2 linked regions of the Nothobranchius furzeri genome follow. The protein of the gene in region 1 purifies or fractionates together with the protein of each later gene. This does not show direct contact. Links are inferred from orthologs where the notes say so. Each region holds a gene or a part of one and is shown on either strand. Other genes may lie near its edges. The genes, in order: ocrl and plekhj1.

What was found.
Region 2: the proteins of ocrl (region 1) and plekhj1 purify together in Homo sapiens (co-immunoprecipitation; 3 studies listed by BioGRID and IntAct, counting the BioPlex papers as one, with this or other methods). This does not show direct contact. The link is inferred for Nothobranchius furzeri from reciprocal best matches to the Homo sapiens genes OCRL and PLEKHJ1.

What each region holds. Positions count from the first base shown.
Region 1 is NC_091741.1:85,247,692-85,252,301, forward strand, and holds the start of ocrl (inositol polyphosphate 5-phosphatase OCRL), read left to right. Parts: upstream 1-1,775; 5' UTR 1,776-1,952; coding exon 1,953-1,993; intron 1,994-2,826; coding exon 2,827-2,907; intron 2,908-4,610. Other genes in the region: si:ch73-335m24.2 (protein eva-1 homolog C), read left to right, coding at 552-955. UniProt on the Homo sapiens protein: Catalyzes the hydrolysis of the 5-position phosphate of phosphatidylinositol 4,5-bisphosphate (PtdIns(4,5)P2) and phosphatidylinositol-3,4,5-bisphosphate (PtdIns(3,4,5)P3), with the greatest catalytic activity towards PtdIns(4,5)P2.
Region 2 is NC_091751.1:56,888,000-56,892,395, forward strand, and holds the start of plekhj1 (pleckstrin homology domain-containing family J member 1), read right to left. Parts: upstream 2,932-4,396; 5' UTR 2,695-2,931; coding exon 2,601-2,694; intron 2,400-2,600; coding exon 2,332-2,399; intron 2,258-2,331; coding exon 2,191-2,257; intron 2,104-2,190; coding exon 2,013-2,103; intron 1,390-2,012; coding exon 1,326-1,389; intron 1-1,325.

The sequences.
Region 1 (4,610 bases):
TGACATAATTACACAAAATGTGTTCTGAAATTGGAGCGGGCAGCCTTTAATGTAATTTGTTTTGTGTTAACTGAGCTGTCGATTCCTGTTTGTCGGCGACAGAGTAAGACCATCAGCATGTGATTCCCCCCACCTCACAATGGGTGGTGGTGGTAAATAATATTAAAATAAATAGGTAAATAATTAAGTAAACAATAAAAAATAGGTTTGTACATAATGGAAGTGCACATTTTGCGGACTGCAGTTCCTCGAATGGCCACATGGTGTGCTCTGCAGCATTCTCTGTAAACTAACCAGTGCTGCTTGAAAGAGACAGAGCCCTGAGACTGCTCATTCTGGAAGGTACTGAAACTGGCAAGAACAAATTTGTTGAGATTGATTTATGGGATGGGGATTTAGAGCAAAGAACTTCATAAACACTTTGCGTAGACCATAGGACTATTATAACTTCAAAAACTGTCAAGACCCCTTTAAAGCATTTGCATATTGTACAGGATGAAGCAGTACAAATGTTGTTTGACCAATGATAACCACATTCGTCTCTCCTTCAGTTTTCCCGGAGCGAGTAGCTCTGTACTTCGTTTCTGGCATCTGTGCTGGACTGGTGTTCCTACTCTGCCTGTTTGGAATTCGCTCCACCATAGTGAGAGATGTTAAGGATCTGGTTTCTGACCTGAATGATCAGATAAAAGCATCACGCAGAAAGAGGAAGGAGCTCATAGACAACCTCTTCGATGAAGAAGTCTCAGACACCTCCTCCTTCTGTCGCCTCACACAGTCTTACCGTACAACAGATGTTCTCAGCCCGTCAGCTCTAACAATGGAGATGGTTGATGTGCAGCAGACGAGGGATTTGCCCATTGGAGACATCTGGCCACACCTGGACTCTAGTCCTTATGCAATTCACAAAATAAAAACCTATAACAGTTGTGTGAAGCCATATCCGGTGATTTAAAAGAGCAGAATACACACAGAGAGATATTTGATTGAATGTCACCTAACTTACACCTCTCTGAATTAACTATGTTCATAATGTAAAACACACAATAACAAGGAGTCATTGTGCTCTATTCAAACTACTATTTGTTCAGATTTGATTTGAACAAGTATGGTTTTATCCACAATGACATTTATCTTCTCTGATTTAGACTTTCTTTGTGTAAAGGAATGGACAAGGCTCAGATGAACTCTATCCATTTGATTGACTTTTCTTTAAAATATTCTGTTTCATAACTGTTCATTCTGGTGTTAGTCTCAAACAACTCCACAATAATAAAACGTTTCCAAGGAAACTGACTGAAAAGTTTTTTTAATACTCTCAACTGAATCTGTTTAATATGCAAGAAAAAAATCAAATATTGTTTTTTAAATATTTGTGTCTGTCTTGGACAACGTAATTTAGATTTTTAAGCAGAAAATATAAATAATTTGCTATTAGTTTGAAGCATTTGTTTTTGCGGCATGAAGTCGCCGGGTGTCTGTTCATCCTCCAGAACACTGGGGAGCGCTAAGTACCTTCATGCGAAGGAGTGCACTAAAATTGAAGTCTGATGAAGGCGAAGAACGACTAGTCTGGGTAGCTAGCTAGGGAGCAAACCCTGGGAGTCTTCGAAGTGTAGCATATCTGTGTGCTACAAACCACCCGATAACGTTATGTTGTCCGAGGGGTTTGTCTCTTGACACCGAGAGGGACACGAGAGAAACTGAACATTCTCATGTTTCTGACAGAATGATGGAAGTTATCAGGGGTTGTTTTAACTCCTAAATTCCATTAAACGTTTGTGAGACCTTCCAGCGGCAACAATAACAACAGCTGGCTAAAGGAGCGGTTAGCCAGCTTCCCGGAAGGAGGCCGCCACAGCGCCGGGTGGAGATTTAACTTTTTTTTTGCCTCAACATCTGCTCAACGTAAAGACCCTAAAAGTGATACGTATTTATTTATCTTGGTAAGAATGGAGTCCACGCTGGGGATTTGCAACGAAGAATGCTTGGCAATATCCTTAAAGTTGTGTTTGAATTGTATACGAGTTAGCGAATGAGTTATGAACAGCTAGCCATGTAAATACAGTTGATCAGAGGGCTAATTCACTAAACCGTTGTGAGATAGCTACTTAATGTTATTATTCGGGCTGATTTAAGAAAGAATTTTCTTTTCCACAAAAGCAGTGACACATCATTTATTGTGGCGACACATTTAGTTAATACTGGATAATTTCACCCAGTTTTATTTACCTTTCTTGTTATGTATTATGATTATGTAGCATCACATTCTATTTGCGATTATCCAGTGGTTGAAGTCACAGTAACAGCTAACACTAAGAACTGCTAAACACGGAGGATATGTGTAGCTTGTATTGCTAAAATTGCTTAGATACATATATTTTTGTTCTTTGCCGCTCCTCTACTGTACTGATGGGCTCGGTCAAACCCTGAATTCTTCCTTTCACGTCTGTGGATCTAGTGATCTAAGTCTCCGTTTTTTTGTGGATTGATCTGGCCCAGGTTTCTCCTTTTACCCTGGTTATGAAAAAGCCTCCAGGCTCAGGTTTCAAATGTTGTTTGTATAAAACAACCTGGTTTAATATTTGCCCCTGTTAGATTTTTGCTGCCACTGGCACTATTCTTTCTCTCTTATTTCACGTTGTTAATGCTTGTCATTAATTTCCTTCCTGATTTTCAGTTTGCATGGCTTCATTAACATCTTTCTTCAACTGAAGACAGACTTATTCATAATGATTTTCGAACACTGTTCCGGTAGTACTGGGTAACAGCTGTAGTTGTGATATCTCATCATCCATCTCAATGATTCCTTGATTGTGCTGCTCAAACTGTAAAAGCTCAGGAGCTGAGGTCTGGCCAGAAGGAGTCCAGGTTACTGTCACTAATTGAACACAATGGAGAGTTTAAGTAAGTATCAGAAATAACAATTACTGAAAGTATGTTGACATTGGGTTGTCCCAATGTCCCAAAGCTGTGTGTTTGTTGCTGAATCGCTTAATAACACAGTAAGGTGTTTTGTTTTATTATTGCTCCTGTTTAGTTTTGACTTCATTCAAATGAAACCCAAGTTGTTGAGAGCTGTCTTTGTCAGAGGAAGCTGCAGTTGACCTGAAGTGTGTGACCTGAGCAGAATTATATGGGTATACAGGAGCTGCTTCATCAGTTAACCTTTAACAAGTTACTTTCCTGTTCCATAATCAAAAATAGAGCTCTTAACATTCAATCGAGCTGTTATCTTGTGTTTTATGAAGTTCTTAAACACACTTTGCACTAGACTGCTGTCACACTGATGGAATCTTAAAATGTGCAAATGAAAATTCAAGTTATTTTGATGTTGACCGGGATAACCAACATCGGTCTGTGTTTTCTATCCTGAATGTCAGATTTATTTGTCTTTTTGAGTTATCTCAGGCTGGTGGCTATTTTAAATCCAGGATGTTTAACTGAATGAGCATGCCCCTTTACACACACACACACACACACACACATACACACACACACACACACACACACACACACACACACACACACCACTCTTGTCACTACACAGATTAGCTCTTAGGTGTAAAATAACTGGATGCCATGTGGGCAGAACGTGGTTTCTGTGAGCTGGACAGCTCCAGGGCTTATTTGGTGAAAGGAGACTTTGTGTGTAGACAGTAGGGAGATGTTTAATCATATGTGTAGCTTGGAGTTACTTTCACCAGCAGTAACCTCACTGCAGATTATCCAGAATTCCTTCACTTCATCTTTAGCTGTAATGAGACTCACATGGGCACGCAGGCTGCAGGCTGCAAGCCCACACAAGCCACCAAAGAGTAATGTCATGAAGAGGGAAAAAACCATTATGAATGTTTCAAAATAGACATGATTTATTTTAAATGATTGAAAGATTTTGCATGACATAAGGCATTACCTGAGGTTCATACCAGTGTTCTGTGCCTTCGGTGTGTTTTTCTGTGGTATTTGCTTTTATGCACTTCTGTACATTGGCTTGGGATACAATCAGTACCAGTTTGTGGTACACAAATTATGGGATTATTGACACAATAATCTGGATAAAACAGACAAAACTGGAGGGTTTGTCACGTCAGGCTCTAAAATGTACAAATGGAGAATAAAAAAAACCATTTTGTTTCCTGTTGAATATTCTGTTGCGTTTACATCGGAAGTTCTCATCCTGACAGATTCGGGAAACTGCTTCTGACACATTTTGCCCAGCAGTCCTGAATAATTGTCCTCTCCACTATAATCAGACCAAGTGAAGGGGAAGAGTGGGCAGTGAGTGCCCAGGAAGACTCTTTGTCCTCTGCTGTTAGTCAGATGTTAGTGAGCACAGGAATGTGACCCTGCCTACATAAACCTACATCATGCTTCTGAAGCCGTTTGTGTCAACAGTTTGATAATTTAACACTTTAATCTTCTTTATATGCTCAGTGGATTTGTATTGATTAACTGAATGATGCACAGTGCTTGCTAGTTATTGTTTTTGTTGTGTGCCACTAAAGAGAGGTTTTGCATGTGTGTTTTTTCAATTTCTATTGTTCATGATAATTAAAGCACATCTTGACTCCATCTTCTCTGTTCTAATGTTAAGCACCCTGCATGAA
Region 2 (4,396 bases), on another chromosome or scaffold:
GGAACCTTCCCGCATGCGCTCTGGTTCTGCGATGCGCTCCAAACCCCTCTCCACAACTTCAGCTCCCTGTGCACATATGCGCTGACAGCGAGCTGCGCTGAGCAGCTCAGATGTTCAGATGGGAATCTTTTCTTGGGTGATTTAGCTACATTTGCGATGTGTGTAACGAATAAAATGTCAGTTCGTCTGCATGCGTCGGGGTAATTCTTTCTATTCTGGAACTATCCGGTCAACTCAAGCCCTGCTTTTGACTGTTCTGTTTTCTTGTGAAAATTGTTGGAAAGAGATCAAATTTAACTTGATTACCACCAGAGCCAGTGCGCCGTCATCTCCGTGATGGTAAACGAGGGAAAAACAAATTGATCGAATCCTGCACGTCTTTTAACACATTGGTCAGGATTGACGCACGTTGCTTTCATTTAGCTGGTTAAAAAAAATCGGGCTCGGGCCAGAGAATCCTGAAAACCTTTTCGGGCCGGGTCGGGCTGGGGCTCCACCCCCTCAGGCCGGGCCGGACACGGGCTCAGATTTGAGGCCTGTGCAGGGCTCTACCTCAAAGCGCAACACTGTGTTTGGCCAGTAGGTGGAAGTAATACGGCATAGAAATTCAATTCAATTCAAAAATACTTTTTTTTTTTTTGAATTAGAAAATTTAAAATTGAATTAGAGATGCTGTTTAAACAATATAATCAAATAAACAGGAAGAAATAAACACAAGTTACAGCAACCACTGTGATTTCAGCTTCAAATTAAACCAACAATGAATCTGCGTGAATGAGGAAGTGACAGGGAGTGAGAATGAGATTCCGCACCTTCTGGTATGCTAGCTAGTTGTTTTCTCTATCAGCATTCACAGCGTTAAATTTGCTGATACTGATTAGCCCAAAATTCTCCAGTTCTCTCTAGCAACCAAACATGATTGGCTGTCTAGTTGCAGTTTAGGAGCACTGGAGGAGTGAAAATGGTGGGCCTGATGGAGGAAATTCATTGTTTAATGAGAGACAGCTGATGAAAATTATGAATCATTCAAATTGCATGTGGGCACACACAATTAAGAAAATCTGACACATTAATAGTAAATATGTGAATATTTATATATATTGTAGTCTTATTTACTTTTTAGAATTACGCAGGAAGGCCGGCACTCCTTATGGACCAGCCACCACTGTTTACATTCATAATTTAATAAAATACATTTGAGTTCATTGCATAAATCTGTAAAAAACATTTTTGGAGTTATTGAAATTATGGATGTTTTCACATCATGACACCAATAATTAAAGGTGCAGTCTGATTTTAGCCAGACTCACTGTTATTGGACTCACCTTCCCAGTGAGGCGGTGGATTTCAGTTCGAAAGAATATAAGATTCCTCCTCATAAACTCATAACTGCAAGAGTATAGACAAGATACATTAAACAGTTTTTTTGGTTTAAGAACCAATATTATATAATAAGTTCACAGACGACTGTTGATCCTAACTTAAAATACGTGTAAAACAACAGTGTGAACATCTAACTGTATTTTACTCTGTACACTTGAGGTCAGATAAGTCTGGACTGATCTTAAAGAGCAAGTCACTCCCAAATCAACTTATTTTTTCTGATAAACTAAATGTGCGTTTAATTGTGCTGCAGACACGTGTAGTCAATAGTTTAGCACTTTATTTAAAATTTTAATTTTCTGCCTAAAACTGTCAGTGTTGTGCCATTGTCAGGTAAAAACTCAGCACTGCATTTGAATTTAAATCTGCCATCCCTATTGGCTAAGAGGTACCTTAAAACGTTAGCTGGTACCATATGATGTCACAATGTCGTTGTGAGCCTGTGTGTGTGTGCGTGTGCGTGTGTGTGTGGATTTGTTAGTGGCCCCGCCCTCTCAGTCTGCTAGGCAACAGCATTTGTTGCATTTGACCAAACAGGAAGTGGGAGTGGAGTAATACTTTGGTAGGGGGTGACTTGCTCTTTAAACAGCAGATCACAGCAAAAAGGAAAATTAAAAAGTCTGTTTTACCTTGCTTTAATAATAGAGTCTATCCACTCCTTACATTGCTCCTCGGAGTTGCACTCAAACACGTATTTTTTCTCAGTTTCATCTAGAAATGCTACAGAGAGACAAACACAACATTAACAAAATGTCACCGCCAATCAGCCTGTAAGAAATCAACACAGAAAGGGAGTCTGGGGCTCACTAATAGAGAAGGTCTGACTGTCCTCTTTCTCCACCCGGCACTGCTCCAACAACAAGGCTCCAATTGGCTGAAAAATAAACACTGAACTCATTAAAATGTTACAGCTCATCATCAGGGACAGAGAAAAAAAACTCATCTAACCTCCTCCTCATCTGTCCGGAAGTAAAAAAGGAAGTTAACTACGAGTTTCACCAGCCGCCTCTTGACAACTGAAAACACACACGCACGCGCGTACACGTACACACACAGAGAGAGAGAGAGAGAGAGAGAGAGAGAGAGAGAGAGAGAGAGAGAGAGAGAGAGAGAGAGAGAGAGAGAGAGAGAGAGAGAGAGATGATCAGTTTCACCGATATGACCCAAAATAACACCAAGCGGAAGTGAAAAGTGACGGAGAAAGTAACAGGTCTTACCGTCTCCTTTCTTCGGACCTCGCATTCCCATTTCAGCGGCCATCTCTGAAGGCTGGCGGCTCAGAGAGACCAGCTCCCTCTCGTTGAAACGCATCGCGTAAAATGGGAGGGGGGACACCTTTGCTAGTCTCTACGACCAAAACATTTCAAATAGAGTTAAAATAATAATATAAATGCAGTAGTTTCGTTGTTTATCATGTCGACTTATTCTGATTCTTTATCCGATGTCCTGAAAACGTGATGGAGAGTGTTTGGTTATTTCCAGGGTGAAGTAAAGTCAAGTGAACGGCATCTGCTAAACAAACAGGAAACGCTGATCGGTTCTTCTTCTAGTGGAGAGTTTAACGGTGCTTGTTAAACCAAATAGAAATACGCTTTCGCCACCTAGTGGGCTAACGCTTAAATGGCTCGTAAGAGCGAGGAGTTGCATGATGTCTGGATAGATAACTTTATAAACGTTCACTGATTAATATTAAAACTTTATGTTCCTCAAATACATTAAATATATGTTTGAGTGCTTCTGACTGAACAATAAACATTTACTCATTACTTGAGGTAGTTTTTGTCCCGTGCCCTGCAACTACAAAATAATTTTTCTAGTTTTTCCTATTGTTTTATAAACATTGAATTATAAATTACTTTATTTTCTTACAGGACTTACTATTTTCTTTTGTTAAACCGTGGCACATATAGCAAAATATTTCCTGAAGTATTTTAAAATGAAAATAATTATTACATTTTAGAAAAAAATCAAACATCACTCTGTTCAGGTTATGTTCTTCTTTTTCTTAACTGAAAAGTACTACTATGCCACGACAAAACGTTGCAGTATAAAAATTGATTCGCAAAATAATATTGCAAGACTTAAAATGAAGCACATTGATTTAAAAATCCATGATTGGGAGAAAAGAGTATTGAAAAGATTCCTTGTTAAATTAAATAACTGGAATAACACCAAATGTTGAACTGGTTGGTTTTATGCCTGTTTAAACTGCTGATACTAGCTCATCAAATTCAAAGCTCGTGCTCCATGAGAGCTAAGTGTAGTGAAAAATGGGTTTAGCAAAATTGACAAAGCAAAAGCATCCATCTGTTTTCTTCTGCTTATATGGAGTCAGCTTGTGGGGGCAGCAGCCTAAGCTAAGAGGCCCTCCCCAGGTTGGGCCAGCTCCTCCAGGGGAATCCCAAGGCGTTCCCTTGCCATTCGTGTGACATAGTCCCTCCAACATGTCCTGGGTCTTCTTTAGGTCTCCTCCAGGTTGGACATGCTCAGAAAACCTCACCATGGAGGCATCTAGGAGGCATCCTAATCAGATGCCTGAGCCACCTCAACTGGCTCCTCTACACCGAGCCCCTCCGGATGACTGAACTTCTCACCCTATCTCTAAGTGAGAGCCCAGAAACCCTGCAGAGAAAACTAATTTTGGCTTCTTGTATCTGCAATCTCGTTCTTTTGGTCACTACCCAAAGCTCATGACTAAAGGTGAGGGTAGGAACATAGATCGGCCGGTAAATCGAGAGCTTCGCCTTCTGGCTCAGCTCTCTCTTCACTACGACAGATCGGTACAACGTCCGCATTACTGCAGACACGATCTCATCCCACCTGTAAATCTCACTCGCCATCTTTCCCTCACTCGTGAACAAGACCCTGAGATGTATAAACTCCTCCACTTGGGGCAGGATCTCATCCCTGGACCCAGAGAAGGCATTCTACCCTTTTCTGACTCAGGACCATAGTCTCGGATTTAGAGGAGCTGATGCTCATCCCAGCTGCTTCACATTCGTTTGTGAACTGC